2 linked regions of the Elephas maximus indicus genome follow. The protein of the gene in region 2 interacts with the protein of the main gene of each other region in a biochemical or structural test. Links are inferred from orthologs where the notes say so. Each region holds a gene or a part of one and is shown on either strand. Other genes may lie near its edges. The genes, in order: PDK1 and RPS6KB1.

Evidence for each region.
Region 1: the proteins of RPS6KB1 (region 2) and PDK1 form a complex in vitro, tested with the Homo sapiens proteins (2 studies listed by BioGRID and IntAct, with this or other methods). The link is inferred for Elephas maximus indicus from reciprocal best matches to the Homo sapiens genes RPS6KB1 and PDK1.

Annotation. Positions count from the first base shown.
Region 1 is NC_064824.1:70,684,784-70,692,946, forward strand, and holds the start of PDK1 (pyruvate dehydrogenase (acetyl-transferring) kinase isozyme 1, mitochondrial), read left to right. Parts: upstream 1-4,968; 5' UTR 4,969-5,063; coding exon 5,064-5,265; intron 5,266-7,653; coding exon 7,654-7,795; intron 7,796-8,163. UniProt on the Homo sapiens protein: Kinase that plays a key role in regulation of glucose and fatty acid metabolism and homeostasis via phosphorylation of the pyruvate dehydrogenase subunits PDHA1 and PDHA2.
Region 2 is NC_064837.1:34,232,685-34,239,946, reverse strand, and holds the start of RPS6KB1 (ribosomal protein S6 kinase beta-1), read left to right. Parts: upstream 1-4,098; 5' UTR 4,099-4,203; coding exon 4,204-4,344; intron 4,345-4,828; exon of another isoform or gene 4,829-4,932; intron 4,933-7,262. Other genes in the region: TUBD1 (tubulin delta chain), read right to left, coding at 1-68, 891-1,107, 1,934-2,081, 2,579-2,750. UniProt on the Homo sapiens protein: Serine/threonine-protein kinase that acts downstream of mTOR signaling in response to growth factors and nutrients to promote cell proliferation, cell growth and cell cycle progression.

The sequences.
Region 1 (8,163 bases), on a different chromosome or scaffold from region 2:
ACCGCATGAAGCCAGAGGGTGAGCACACAGAGTGACACCATCCAACCTCCTGGGGCACAGACTCGGGCAAAGAAGAGAAGAGAATGTACTGATTTAGGAAATAACATTGGAGTCATTATTCTCTCCTTCAGCATAGAGAATGTGACCCAGCTAGAGCTGGATTCACAAGGACTCACAAGGAAACATCAACTGGGCCCTGAGATACAAAGACAATAGCTAGGACAATCTTGGAAAATATCTTTTAGTGAAACTTTCACAAAAACCAATCAAACAGAACACAAAAGACTTCCATTCTTATCTTTTTCTATTAGCATTTAGTGAATAGAAAATTTGTTGGACCAGTGAAGACCCTCCTGACTGTCATTACTGAAACCTGTAAATTAAGAAAGATGATTCAAAATGTAGAATCACGTTGATCTAGCAGTTTTTAGCGAATCGGTGAAAAGGGAAATGTTCAATGATTTTACCAACTTGTGATGTTAATATATGCTGATGATTCTGTAACATTGGGGCAGATGTGGCTCTGGCAGCATGCTAGTCTGTCCTCCCACTTCTGCTTATTCTGTGACCTTACTTGGATTTGGGCAGACATTAGCTCTGGCAGCATGCTTGTTCCCTTCCCACTTTTGCCTTTTTGAATATATGTTGAATAGAACTTTCTTTTTTGTTTTACTAAACTTTGTGATTTTTTTTTCCTACAACAGTATCTAGAGGGGCAAATAGAGAGCAGCCAGCACAGCTAGCATAGACTCCTTGCTGTATCTAGTGTTAAAGAGAGGAACTGATAGCAGGTATCTTGCTTTGATTTTGAGGTTTTCTTTCTCACAAAGGAAACCCTCGTGGCGTAGTGGTTAAGTGCTACAGCTGCTAACCCAAGGGTCGGCAGTTCAAATCTGCCAGGCACTCCTTGGAAACTCTACGGGGCAGTTCTACTCTGTCCTATAGGGTCGCTATGAGTCGGAATCGACTCGATGGCACTAGGTTTTTGGTTTTTACTCACAAAACCAAATATTCACTTTAAAGAAATTCCTGACCAAAGTTAATTTGCCAGCAGCCTTTCTTTTACCCAGAGTTGCAAATCCTTCTTTCCTGTTCAAAGAAGCCAGGCTTACTAAACTTGAATTTCAAAAGACATGGGTGGGTGGAAGGGCAGAGACTATCTTGTGAACCATACCAACTGATCTCAGTAAAAGGAGGAGGGCAGGGTTCAACCAGTCACGTTAAGATTAGCAAATGGTTGATCTGCTATGTATTTTTTTCTCTCTCCTATTCTATTTATAAGCCTCATTGTACTTTAAGCCGTTTGCTTTTTCTGGAATCAAAATTGTCTCTCTATAAAACCAAAGCCAAACCTCTTGTCGTCAAGTCAAGTCCGACTCATAGCGACCCTTTAGGACAGAGTAGAGCTGCCCCATAGGGTTTCCAAGGGGTGGCTGGTGGATTTCAACTGCTGACCTTTTGGTTAGCAGCCATAGCTCTTGACCACTGCACCACTGGGGCTCTGGTCCTCCTATACGCATATTGAATAACTGCTCAGGATAAACTTTATGTTCAAATTCTGTTGAGTTTCGATTATTTTTAACACTAGCTTGTTCTCCATTGCTTTTCTTACTTTTTTTGGTCAGACCGGCCCAACATGGATCATGAATTCTCAGTGAATTTAGAGGTCTGGCTCAAGTATGCTATATAAAGACGCCTTTATAGAGCCTGAGAAACAGAGTTTTTAATTCTCCTGAAATCCAGATTTCTGGGGTTGGGGGAGTTGGGGTGTGTCGTAGGGAAAAAACATCAGTAAGTTTAGTAAAGGAAAAAGAAAGTTTTATTCAATATATATTCAAAAAGGCAAAAGTGGGAAGTGGACAAGCATGCTGCCCGAGTCCAAGGAAATATTACAGAATAAGCAAGAATGCTCCTTAGAAGCAAGGATGGCAAGACTGTGTCTTACATACTTTGGACATGTTGTCAGGAGGGATCTGTCCCTGGGGAAGGACATCATGCTTGGTAAAATACAGGGTCAGCGAAAAAGAGGAAGACCCTCAATGAGGTGGATTGACACAGTGGCTGCAACAATGGGCTCAGGCATAATGACGATTTTAAGGATGGCTCAGGACCAGGCAGCATTTCGTTCTGCTGTGCATAGGATTGCTATGAGTCAGAACCGACTAGACGGCACCTAACAAGAACAAGAAGCAAGAATAGAAAAAGACAAGCATGCTGCCAGAGGGACTACATAGGATTATATACATCCCTACAGAAGCAGACTGTCACATCTTTCTTCTGCAGAGCTGCTCATGGTTTCGAGTCGCCAACCTTTCAGTTAACAGCCAATTGCTTTAACCACTTCGCCACCAGAGCTGTCAAATTACATCATCGCAAAACTGCTAAACCACTGAGAATCATAGCCCAGCCAAGGTGATACATAACCTTAACCATCACAGCCAGGGTTACTCTTACCTAACACCTCAGCATTTGTTACTGCCAAACGTATGTCGTTAACATGTAAAATAGTTGGATAGTAGATTTATTACTAGTGTTATGAATGTGAAATGCTGGATAACGAGATAATAAGTGAGGGGTAGGTGTAAGCTTCAAATCAATTTATATTATTGGCTTAATATTATTTGATTTAACAAGCCTTAGAATATGATTATACTTTATATCTACATAGTTAAATAATATATCCATTTAGTAAAATTGTCCATGGTTCTCTCCAACTTCTGGACTCTAAGCCTTTGACCAAGAAGCAAATAGTTGATGCCATTCTATACACGTATGTATCTACTCATTCTCTGCATATTGGGTGGAAACTCTGTGAATATATTTGGAGAAAAGAAAAAATACTTCATAAAACAACTGATTTACTAAAATAAATCTCAAGTTTTCTGTTGGGCTTTCATACTTCCACCCAAGTCACTGTTCAGCTGAGCACCTTGACATGTGTAGACTGTAGCAGAGATGCGAATAGAGGATGAAGGAGATGAATAATGCTGTACATAGCATTTATTGGGGAATAGAACAGCTATAGCTGGGCAGCACTAGATAAAAATACCAAGTGCTCTGAGGTACAAGCAGAGAGAGGGGTCTATATAGAGAGAGAACAAAGGAAAGGCAGTGGGTTAATGATTGATAAAATCAGCTTGGGTTTGAACTCCTTTAAAATGTAAATGTTGGCCACTTGGCTAGGAAGGGGTGGGTTACCACCTGGGTAAGTGGCACCAGCCAGTTTGATTATACACATTCTTCCTAGGAACAAATTGTTTACATCCTGACACACTCTTCCTATATGGTTTACATCCTGACCTTTTGTTTCCTGAGAAGGCACCTTGGCCCCATCATTCTTGGTCTGACATGAGCGCCTCCAGTTGGAAACTTTTCAGTTTACAAAGTGCTTTTTGCAGCCCATCCCAGCAACTACCTAGACTTTAGTTTCCAAGTGGTCAGTGTTTCCCCTTCAAACTAAACAGTTTGCCTGACTAATGAAGCCTAAAAAAGAATTTCATTCTTTCTACTCATAATATTTTTATACAACCCAAGACCTGGCCACCATACAAAATTGTTATCCTATACCAGTAACTGCTGGGCTTACATATATTCTTTATTTGATAAATTTCACACCCACCATTAAGTAATTTTTTTGCATCTGAGCCATACAAGGAAATCCCTGGATAGAGCAAATGGTTAAGTGCTTGACTACTAGCTGAAAGGTTGGCAGTTTGAACCTACCCGGAGGTGCCTTGGAAGACAGGCCTGGCAACTGCTTCCGAAAGGCCACAGCCTTGAAAATCCTATGAAGCAGTTGTACTCTTTGCTTATGGGGTTGCCATGAGTAGGAATCTACTCAAAGGCAACTAACGACAGACAAGACTTACCAAAGCACTGGGGCTGGGTACATGGGGGGAGCAGCATGTAGGACATATGGAAGGGACAGAAGTGGTTTTCACTATAGACTGTAGCCTTTGCAGCTCTGCCTTTGGGACTAATCAATATTAGAAATTGTCTTGTCCTGTGTTCACAACTTGGACCCCTGGCAGCACAGTGGTTAAGAGCTCAGCTGCTAAACAAAAGGTCGGTGGTTCTATTCCACCAGCCGCTCCTTGGAAACTCTATGAGGCAGTTCTACTCTGTCCTATAGGGTCCCTACGGGTCAGAATCGACTTGACACCAACAGGTTTGGTTTTTAGGTCTTGTTCACTATTTAGAGGCCTGCCTGGAAGAAGTAGAGAGCCAGACTGTGTCCCTTAGCTAGTTAAAAGAGCAGGGCAGTTAAAGAAGAGGGATCCTTTAAACACATTGCTGACCATGCCAGGAATGCCTGCAGATAAAGCTTCCAGGTGGGCTGATCTCCTAGCACTGAAGTCGCTGTGATATTACTTAGGGCCACATCCCGCAGTGCTTATATACTATGGTTTGGCAAGGGTCGGCTCCTGAAGCTTTCTGGGTCTGTTTCTTCACCTATAAAATGTAGCGCTTGCAGCAGCGATAATGGTGCGTGAAAGGGGAGCGATGCTCTCTTCTCGAGCATTTTGGCTGCGGCTGGGAAGGCAGAGACAGCAAGAAGGTGGGATTTGTTACAAAAGGGCGTGGGAAGGGGCGCACAACACCGTAAGTCAAGCGCCACGGCGACAGGCAGGCCTTCCGGCCTGGCGAATGAGAGGGGCCAGGGACCTGGCGAGGCTCCCGCCTCAGGCCTTAGTCCTCACGCGCGCCGGGTCCCTGCGGCCGGCCCAGCCCGGAGGAACCCGCCGCGGGCCGGGAAGCGGGCCGCCCTCGCGCGCGCCCTCCCTGCCTCCCTAGCTCACGGAGTCCGCCCCACAGGCAGGGGGCCGGGCTTCGGCGCAGGGGCGGTGCTTGCGCGCGCCCTCCCCGCCTATCTCCCCGCCTCCCTCGCTCACTGGTTCCCGCCCCGCGGGGCAGGGGGCTGGGCTCCGGCGAGGGGGCGGTGGCCGCGGAGGTGACAGCCGCTCCCCACCCCAGCAGCCCGCCACGTCCCTCACGTAGCGCGGGGCTGAGCTGCAGAGCCGCGACCTGGCGCCCAGGACTGCCGCTCCTCCAGCCGGCTCGGCATGCAGCTGGCGCGGCTGCTGCGGGGCGCCGCCTCGGCCGGGCCGGGACCCGGGCTGCGCGCCTCCCGGCCCAGAGCCAGCCGCAGCCTCACCTCGGACTCGGGCTCTGGCCCTGCTGCCGAAAGCAGCGTTCCGGGCCAAGTGGACTTCTATGCGCGCTTCTCGCCGTCCCCACTCTCCATGAAGCAGTTCCTAGACTTCGGTGAGTGCGGCCCGGGCCTCCGGCCTTTGTGCGCCGCCGGGGGCGGGGAGCTGCCACCCCTGACCCCCTCTCGCCTTAGGCACACCCGTCCTCTGTCGTTTTCTCCCCTAGCGGAACCTTGGACGCTTCCTTCCTCCCTCGCGGAGCCGTAAGCTCAGGTGCAGGCCCTTGCTGCCCGGGTAAATAACTGGGGGTGTGTGGCTTTTACTGTGTATCGTTGAAAAACAAACCAGAAGGACCAAAGGCGGAATGACCTCCCGCCTTTCAGCGCAAGTGTACAGATGTGCGTACTGGGCCAGGCTTTTTCCGAAGAGCTGAGCTGCGGGGAGAGGCGAGTGCACGGACACCCCGGGAATCGTGTACGAAATCTGCAGAGCACCATACATGCTCAGTTTTGCATATGTGACTGCGTAAAATTAGCGTGATGATAGGGAATGCAGGTTATATAACTGGCCCTGTGTTTCATAAAATGTTTTTTTCAACAGTGTCTTAGGAGTGTTTCCACGAACAGCAGATTCATTTAATCAGCAATAAATAAGCCTTGAGCACGTGTAAAGTGCGTGAGTACAAGATGCAGTGGGGTTTACCACATATCACTCCTGTGAAAGCGACCCTGCTCAGATGGACGCTTTCTTATTTTCTCTAGAAAACATACAACAGATAGAGGAAGGAACTGCAAACTTAGGCATTTAACGTTTGACTTTCCTTTTGGGGGCAATGAACGTGGGTAGAAAAAAGTTGTGCACTGTGAGTACTGTTAGGTCACTGACCTATCACTAGAGGGCTTGAAAGATACTAGCAGGGCTGGCAACTTTATCTTAACAAACAAACAAACCAACCCATTGCCTCAATTCTGACTCATAGTGACCCTGTAGGACAGAACAGAATTGCCCCATAGGGTTACCGGGGCTGTAAATCTTTACGGAAGCAGACTGCCACATCTTTCTCCCTCAGAGTGGATGGTGGACGGAATCCAGGATATTTTGGTTAGTAGCTGAGTGCTTTAACCACTGTGCCACCAGGGCACCTTTATCTTAAAACTGGTTTACAGTGGCAGGCTTTTTAAGCTCAAAGCCCTTTGTTTTGTTTTTACTTTAAAATGGCACTAGTATGCTTAATGGGTGAATTTGACCTTGTTCACAAGTATGTGTTTACACTTGCCACAAGAAAATGTTTTCCTTTAATACCATAATTGCCATCTCCAATCTAGTTTTTGCTAAGGGTACCCCTGCTGAAAGAGCAAAATTAAATTAGTGAGTTGAAGTGTATTATTGAAAGAATATGACTTTTCAGTTGACTTTAAATGGAGTTGCTTGCCCAAGGACGCTCTACAGATGTTCTGCTTAGAATCCTGATATGTGAATGGAAAAGGGCAGTCTGCTCTGCAGGAACCTGACAATTGAATTAGACCTGCTGGAGATTAGGTAGCTACAATCTTGAAAATGGTTGCTGAATAGGCCTTGATGTTTTTTGCTTTCTGTTACTTGAAAGGCCCTCTACCTTTACTCTCTGCTTGTGGTGATTTTGTTGTTTGATGTCGAGTGGATTCTCACTCATAGGGACCTTATAGGACAGAGTAGAATTGCCCCATAGGGTTTCCAAAGAGTGACAAGTGGATTTGAACTGCCAACCTTTTGGTTAGGAGCCATAGCTCTTAACCACTGTGCCACAACCTGGGAAACCCTATGGGGCAGTTCTACTCTGTCCTGTAGGGTAGCTATGAGCCAGAATTGACTCGACAGCAATTGTTTTTTTTAAACCTTTTTGGGAGTCAGGTCTTTTCTCTCGTGGACCTGCTGGTGGATTCAAACTGCCAACCTTTTGGTTAGCAGTTGAGCATTTAACCATTGTGCCAATAGAGGGGCTCCTTGGTGATTAATATAGGGGTTCCATATGGAAATGAATGAATCTTCCTATGCACATGTCAAAATTTTCTGGTTTCTTAGACATTTATTCACTTTTTATAAACCTGGAGTTAGGAAGCAGATTTTCAAAATGATAGCAGGTTATATAGGCTAGGCTTTTTGATGTTCTACTGTTAATTAGACTGAGCCTTGCTCAGACTTGCAATGGTTAGGGAGATATTTTAAGGATGCTCAAGAAGTAAAAGCAACAGGAAAGTGTCTTAATTGCTCTGTAGAGGCATTGGAATTCCAGAATTTGGAAGGTTCTTCTGGATACCTCAGAACTCTAAGGGCTATTATCTTCTCTCCCTGCCTCCCCCTCCACCCCAGCAATGGGTACCTTTTGCCTCCTATTCTGTGCCCTATCATTATGATGATTCTGCCTCTCGGGCCCTGCCAGATAACTTCCTCTTTCTTTCTGCCCGCCTTGTGGCTTCAGCTGCCTGTTTTGACTTACTGCTTTTCCTACCATGTTTGGTTTCAGGATCTGTGGATGCTTGTGAAAAGACCTCATTTATGTTTCTGCGGCAAGAGTTGCCTGTTAGATTGGCAAACATAATGAAAGAAATAAGTCTCCTTCCAGATAATCTTCTCAGGACGCCATCAGTTCAATTAGTACAAAGCTGGTAAGAGTCCCATCTTGTGTTTGCAATTTCGATGGAATTGTGGGCTTTACTCAGCTTTAAAGCCAATGCTTTTTTACTCTACCAGTTGCCATCAAGTCAACTCTGACACACGGTGACCCCATGTGTGTCGGAGTAGAACCTGTGGTCCATGGGATTTTCAATGACTGATTTTTCTGAAGTAGATTGCCTGGCCTTTCTTCTGGGATGCCTCTGGGTGGACTCAAACACCTAACCTTTTGGTTAGCAGCTGAGTGTATTAGCCCTTTGCACCACCCAGGAACTCCTGAGTTTAAGTCATGGATTTGTCACTTCTTAGCGTGACCTGGGTATATTACACTGCTCTCTAGCCTCAGTTTCCTCTGCTCTAG
Region 2 (7,262 bases):
AGGAGGGCATCCGAAGATTGGTACAAGTGAGAGAGAGTCAAAATGGAGTTGTAGTTCTGAACAATAACCTAGAAAGAAAAACATCAGAAATAAGAAAGGCAGGAGTGAAGAGTGGTTAAGAGCGTAGATTCTGAAGCCATCCTGCCTGCGTTCACATTCCTGGCTCTGTCACTTTCTAGCTGTTGGTATGATTTTGGACAAGATATTTAACCTCTGAATGCCTCAGTTTCCTCATTTGTTTAAAAACAAACAAACCCATTGCCATTAAGTTGATTCCAACTCATGATGACCCTGAGTTACAGGTAAGACAGGGACAATAATTACACTGGTCTCCGAGAGTTAGAAAGATTAATGATATAATGGAAGTAAAGAACTTAGGAATAGTGCCTTGTACATAATAAGGGCTTAGTAAATGTTGGCTATTATCACACTTCCTTCCTACATCATTTCCTATAGTGAGTTATCTCACCTCCAGTTTACTGATTCTCCTACTAGGCTGACCAACACGAAATTGGCCTATATACAAACTTCTTCCCCATGGAAAAAAAAAAAAACTATTTGAAGGTTGGCAATGGCACCATGAACCCCAATATGAGGTCAAGGTCTGTCCTGCTTTACATACTGTAGCCAGAGGGACTAACTCAGAGTTGGGTTCCTGAGAGGGCATACACAATCATCTTTTTTTGAAATTTTAAAAAACGTGGACACCTAGTTTGTTTGGAAAAGTTTAAGTTAAGTGAATTGTACTCAAGAAAGTATCATGTTGCATAATCACTCCTGAAGCTGTAACTTAACATGTCCAAAGAAAGAGTGAGAATCAATTTCCTACCCACATTTATTTCAACTGGAAAGAATGCAAAATATAAAAATTTCAATTAATACGTTCATACCTCACCGGTTCCATAAGGCCATATAACCTGATTCATTTTAAAAGAGTTTGGGTACTGATCTTGTAAATCCCGGGTAACAAAGGCTCCTAGCCCTGATCCCGTGCCCCCGGCCATACTCATTATGATGAAAAAACCACTCAAAGAGTCACATTTCTCCACTTCCTTCTGAATTAGGTTCATTATAGATTCTTCATGCCTGGGTCCATGAACAGAGTAACTATGCAATGCAAAAGAGACAAACATAAACCCTTTTAAAATTGACCACAGAGATGCAATGCAGAGATAGACACAGGACAGAGCGAGCTTTTCAAAGCTGCGCAAGTGAACTAATTCTCACGAAAGATACAAGTACTCTGACTGGCAGAATTTAAAATACAAAAATATATTTAACAGGTGAATATGACTGCTAGGAGAGGGCACTGACTAGGTACAGGAAATTCTCTTTTATGGGACATTCATTTACCAGGAGCCTTCAATGACCAAGTAGTTCTGTGTAAGTTTCTGGTACAACATAATATCTGATACTCATAACAATAGTCCTAAAGCAGTGGTTTCAAACTTTGCTGCACATTAAAATCACCTGGGGACCTTTGAAAAATCCCAATACCTGGACTTTATCCCAAGCCAATTAAATCAAAATCTCTTGGAGCGAGTCCTAGGCATTGAGACTTTCCAAAGATCCCCAGGAAATTCTAATGTGCAGCAAAGTGCTGGAACTACTGCTTTGTAATATTCTTGCCCAATAAACCAGAATACTCGCCAGATACAGATAATATACTGACAGTAAGTCAGCTGGCAGCACGACAATGAAGAAGGTGGAAAACCTTGGGGCAAGAGATCCTTCATCATTACCTGTACCTGAAGCACAGACACAGAGACTGAATGAGAGTTTCTTCTGGGTGAATTCAAACTTTAAAGTAGCAATTACAAGATTGTTTGCTAGTACAATCTAGAGTATATCAACTCTACAATTGTAACTACATTGTCTATTAATCAACAATGTATCTGTAACTAAACTGCAAAATATGTGGAATTATTCTTACCCATATGCCCAGTTGTTTCCAGAACCTTGTCTTTGACAGAAGCATGCATGCTGACCATATTTCCATCGGCCAGACCGGGCAGCCTTTGATAGTGTTTGATTGATAACTTTAGGTTCCATGTCAACAAGTACAGCCCGGGCAACTAGAACTAGCAAGGGAAAAAAATCGAAAGAAAAAATATTTCAAGGAGGAAATTTTATAGTAGTTAGTGTTGTCAAATCCAGCAGAGAAGTTAAGTGAATTAAGAAAAGAAAAACAGCCATTGAATCTGGTAATTAGGAAACTTTTTCTTAGAGTAGCTTCAGAAGTGGTGAGGGCAGAGCAAGATTGCACTGGGTTAAGGAGGGCTCTCCATTGAGAATCTTGGATAAGAAGGCAAGAAATTAAGAAAGAAGAAAACTTTAGTCAAGGGATTTTTTTTGTCTTGCTTTGTTTTAGACTGGTGAGATCTGAGCGCGCTCATGTGCTGAAGGAAAGATGCCACTGGGAGGCAAAAATTGTCAATAATAGAAACAGATGGGAGAGAGCAAACATAGGTCCCTAGAGAGATGGGGGAGGGATGGGGTTCAGACACCAAGTGGAGGGCTTGGCCTTGAAAAGGCTGGCTACCTCAGACTAAAGGAAAGAACCATGGGCCACACATACCTCCATTTTCCTCCTCACTGAAGAACCTTTCTTTGCAAGACGCTTGATACGCCTCATTCTCCTTCTTGGAGCAGAGTCCCTGGGAACAGTATGAGTCACTAAATAAAGTATCAAACACTTCAAAACCAATCTGATTGCCACACTGACCAAGTTGCACTGTTACTATTGACATGCTGAGCCACAAAGTCCCACCAAAAAAGTGAGCAACCTGTAATAGAAAAATATAGACTTTGAGAACTATTATATTACTAAAAGAACAAATAAAATGCCACATATTAATTACATCTTGATTAAAAAATATAATTTAAAAATGCCATATATGTACAGGGTTGCAGATGAAATTGTTATGTTGTCTAAGGTGCCAGTCATTCAGGAAGTTCTCCTTTTCTTTATGGTTTTGCGATTTGTGATTTACTATACTCAAATACATTCATACACAGCTTCCACAATCTGATTCATACTATTTTCTTCAGCATGCATTTAAGACAAAGCAAAAAGAATGCTGATTGACGGGATTACGTAGTAATACACAGTTCACACCACGTGGACACATAGAACACAGAATTTCTCTCTGCAATCACGCATTTAATTAACAGTAATTTTCCCTCTTCTAAATAATGACTTTCTCTCCCTTCACCAACCTCCTTTCTGGCTTGATAACTACAATTACACTTTGTGACCTCTTGGTTAGCAGCCCAACTCTTAACCACAACGTTCCCTGGGCTCCTTAGCTCCAGTACAGGAAGAAAGCCGGAGCTCGGAGAAAGCAGACCAGATGAAATATTAGAACTGGTTTTCATTATGTTTAATAAACAAAACAGACAATTTTTGATAAAGACCTCACACCAGGTCTATGCAGCAGTGGAAATGAGCCACGGTTTGTGAGCCAGGTTCTGTGCTTCAGATTTTCAAACAATCCTACAAACCAAACCAAACAAAACACACCAAAATCCTACAAAGCAGGCATTATTATCCGCTTTTTACGGATAAGGAAACTGAGGGTCTGGAAAGTTTTGTGATTTCCCAAGACCACCAGACTAGTAAAGAGCAAAACCAAGACTCTCCCTTTCCCCACCGGCCCCAGGAACCCCTCATTAAAATAAACTCACTCACTGACAGCCCCGGTACTAGTCGCTTCTGTCTTCTTCAAACTTCAGAGGGCCAATCCTCTCGTTATGCGCATGCTCGCCTTCAACACTAAACACTGCCAAGAACGAATGCGCATGTTCCACAGACTGAGCGTTTTGGGGGTAAGTGGGGTGGTGGGTGCGTGTGTGTGTTTCTTCTTATTCAGAAAGGTTAATTACGCATGTTTAATTTCAATTTATCAACATCAGATATGGTACGCATGCTCGCTGTCCATCAAAAGCTTGAGCTGACAATGCGCATGATCTAGCCTCCAACCGAGGCTTCGGCTGGCATTCTGCGCATGTCTCTCCCAGGACCTTGATCCTGGCAATAATTCTACGCATGTCCACTGCCCACAGTTCGGCTTCATGGGACCCAGTACGCATGCTCTAGCGCTGAACTTGAGGAGCCAGTCTACGGCCTAGGCGCAGTCGCACTAAGCCTAAGCGGCCGGTGATGGCGGCAGCGGCGGCAGTGGTTGCGGCGGGTCCGGGCCCATGAGGCGACGACGGAGGCGGGACGGCTTTTACCCAGCGCCGGACGTCCGAGACAGGGAAGCTGAGGACATGGCAGGAGTGTTTGACATAGACCTGGACCAGCCAGAGGACGCGGGCTCTGAGGATGAGCTGGAGGAGGGGGTGAGGCCCGGGGTCCCGGGGGGCCCGAGGTGACAGGGCTGGGGCGGCGGCTAGGGCCCGGGAAGCCAGGCGTGTCTGAGAGCGCGGAGACCCAGGGGGGCGCGAGTAGTCTTCGGGAAGGGCTGGGAGGCGCCCCGCGCGGCGGAGGTGGCCCTAGGTGTGAGGCCGCTGCGGGGCTCGCAGGTGCAGGTCACTCCCCCAGCTCCAGATCAGCGCTGTCCCGAGCAGTCTGTTTGTGGAGGGAACGAGGAAGGATGCGTGATCAGTTCCTCGAGCTGTGGCACTTGTGTGTGGTGGGACGCGGGTGGTGTGAGCGTGTGTTGGGGGGAGGGAGGCTGGCTTGTTAGGTGTCCCGTAAAGTGCAGGCGAAGTGCGGAAGGGTTTCCCTTCAAGTGTAAAATTTCAGGTATTAAATCCTCAGATCTCCCACAACTACCTCTCTTCTCGGCCTGTCGCTTCTCTCCTAGGAAGCGCTCAGCTGTTAGAAGTGACAGCTGAAAACTTCTGTCGGGAGTAGCGCTGCCGCTGCTGTTACAGCCACCAGGAGTTTTATTTCTGGAGCAAGGGGGCTCAGCTGCATCTTCCAGGGTTTGTTTGTTTGCTTTTTTTTTTTAACCCCCTTCCGTGTGATTTTTTATAAAAGCATTTGTAACGACACACGGCATTTGTAATTAACTTTTCTTCTAGATGAAGATGTCTCTCTTTTTCGAAATATATTTATGTAATTTTGGGGTGGAAAAAACCCACTGTTGACAGCTGTGATTTGGCTTGCCAAAAATAAATTGCTTGAATTGAGACTTGTGAATGGTGGTGTGAGGGCTTTCCTTGCTGTAATTTAGGATGCTGAATTTAGAATTTTTTTTCTAATGCATAGCTTGGTTTTACCTTTAACAGTTTGTTATTTATGAAAGATCATTCTTTCTTCAAGATGAATTTGTTGAAAAATCACAAATTGCACCTGATGTTCAAAAATGATGTTGTCATACTAAATCACTTATCCTGGGCTAATGGCATCAGCATAACCTCAGTGTAATTTAGGTTCTAAATTCCACTGTCTAATGAGTACATGGGTTAATGACTCGTGTCATACGTTTGCTCTAACTACATAAGGGGCTCCCCTTTTCTTTCCCCACGTACAATTTTCCTGCTATGGCAATAAATTGCACCCTGCTTGTTAAAAGATTTCAATGCTACATATATAAAGAACTTAAGCAACTAAGTGGGCTAAAATAATAATAACTATTCTTTTCATGATCAAATGAGTCTAAATCAAAATCACACAGTTTAGAATGTGGATAAGAGGTATGTGCTTTTTAAACTGCTATGTCTGAGTATGGGATTCCGTTACTCTCTTAAATGAACACCATGGTACACTAAATAACAATTTGAAACAAATAGGGGATTACTTTCTTAATACAGGTAATTCTGCATCTTTTTATGTTTTTTTCTGCTCCAACTTCCATTACATGCACCATACTGTCATCAGTTATAGTATTTCCATATGGCAATGATTTTGGGCCAGGGTAGGGAGAAAACGAGATAGGAAGGGTGCTTTATATTTTTGTGAGTTAAAATGATATAATTTCCAAACTATGAGTTTATCCTCCTTTGAAAATACACCACTATATTAAGACACTTGTTATGAACTGGGACCCCCTTGGTATGTGCTTCAGAAACAGTGTGTAGTCCAGTTTTGACCTTCTCCTGGGCTTTTGTTTTGCTTCCTACAAGCAAAGTAGGATTTTGAGAGGATGTGGTGGAGATGGCCTGAGAAATTGGTAGATACAGGAAAGAGCAAGAAGTGTGGTAACTACCTGGGAAGAGGATAGAGCCAACCAAACCAGTTGCCATGGAGTCCACTTTGAGTAAACTCAGACTTGTGGTGACTCTATGCGTGTCGGAGTAGAACTGTGCTCCATAGGGTTTTCAGTGGCTGACTCTTTGGAAGTACCATGTTTTTATGCAGATAACATGTGCCTTCTATGTTTGTTTGCCAAGCACTCCCTCCCCCCACAAGATATTTTCATAAGAGCCTCTATGCTGATTTTTTAAACATGTTTCTGTAAAAAATTAGCATAGCACACTTATGAAAATAACCTGGGTCAGGGGGGAAGTGGTTGGGAAACAAACTACAAGGTGCATGTTATTTGCATAAGAGTATGGCAGGTCACCAGCCATTTCTTCTGAGGCATCTTTGGATAGTCTGAAAACTCCAGCCTTTTGGTTAGCAGCAGAGCTTGTTAACCATTTGCACCACCCCGGGGCTTTGAGGAATAACCTTAAGTAAAATACGTCTTACTTATCAATGCTTTGGGAGTTGAAATTGTTTCTTTTGGGTGTGTTATTCTAAGAGGTGCCTCAAGGTAGACAAAGTTGGGGTGGGATTGGGGTGGCAACCCAAGGAGAATTGCTTACGTCCAGGTTACTCGAAATAAAAAAAAAAATTCTGAAGAATAATAAAAGTTTAGTTTCTAGGAAAATGTAATATTTTCCAGCCATTTATGTAATAGCTATTAGTTTATTACACAGACTTTTTTAACAATGTGTATCAGAGTAACCTAATCTCTTGATTTTATAGTAAGGAAACTGAGGCATAGGTCAGAGAGATGATTCCCCAAGATCACATAGCTAGTGGTAGTGTCTTCTGACTCAGTTCAGCAAGCTTCATTGCACAACTTCACTTTATTTACCAGTCTTGATCATAATGTGCATCTTTGTGGTGTGGCAGAAGTGAGTTAAAAATCACTTCTACTACCCTCCCTATGTGACTTAAAATAAGTTGCTTAACCTCACTGATGGAGCCCTAGTGGCACAGTGGTTAAGAACTTGCCTGCTAACCAAAAGGTTGGCAGTTTGAACCCACCAGTCACTCCTTGGAAACCCTATGGGGCAGTTCTACTCTGTTCTGTAGGGTTACT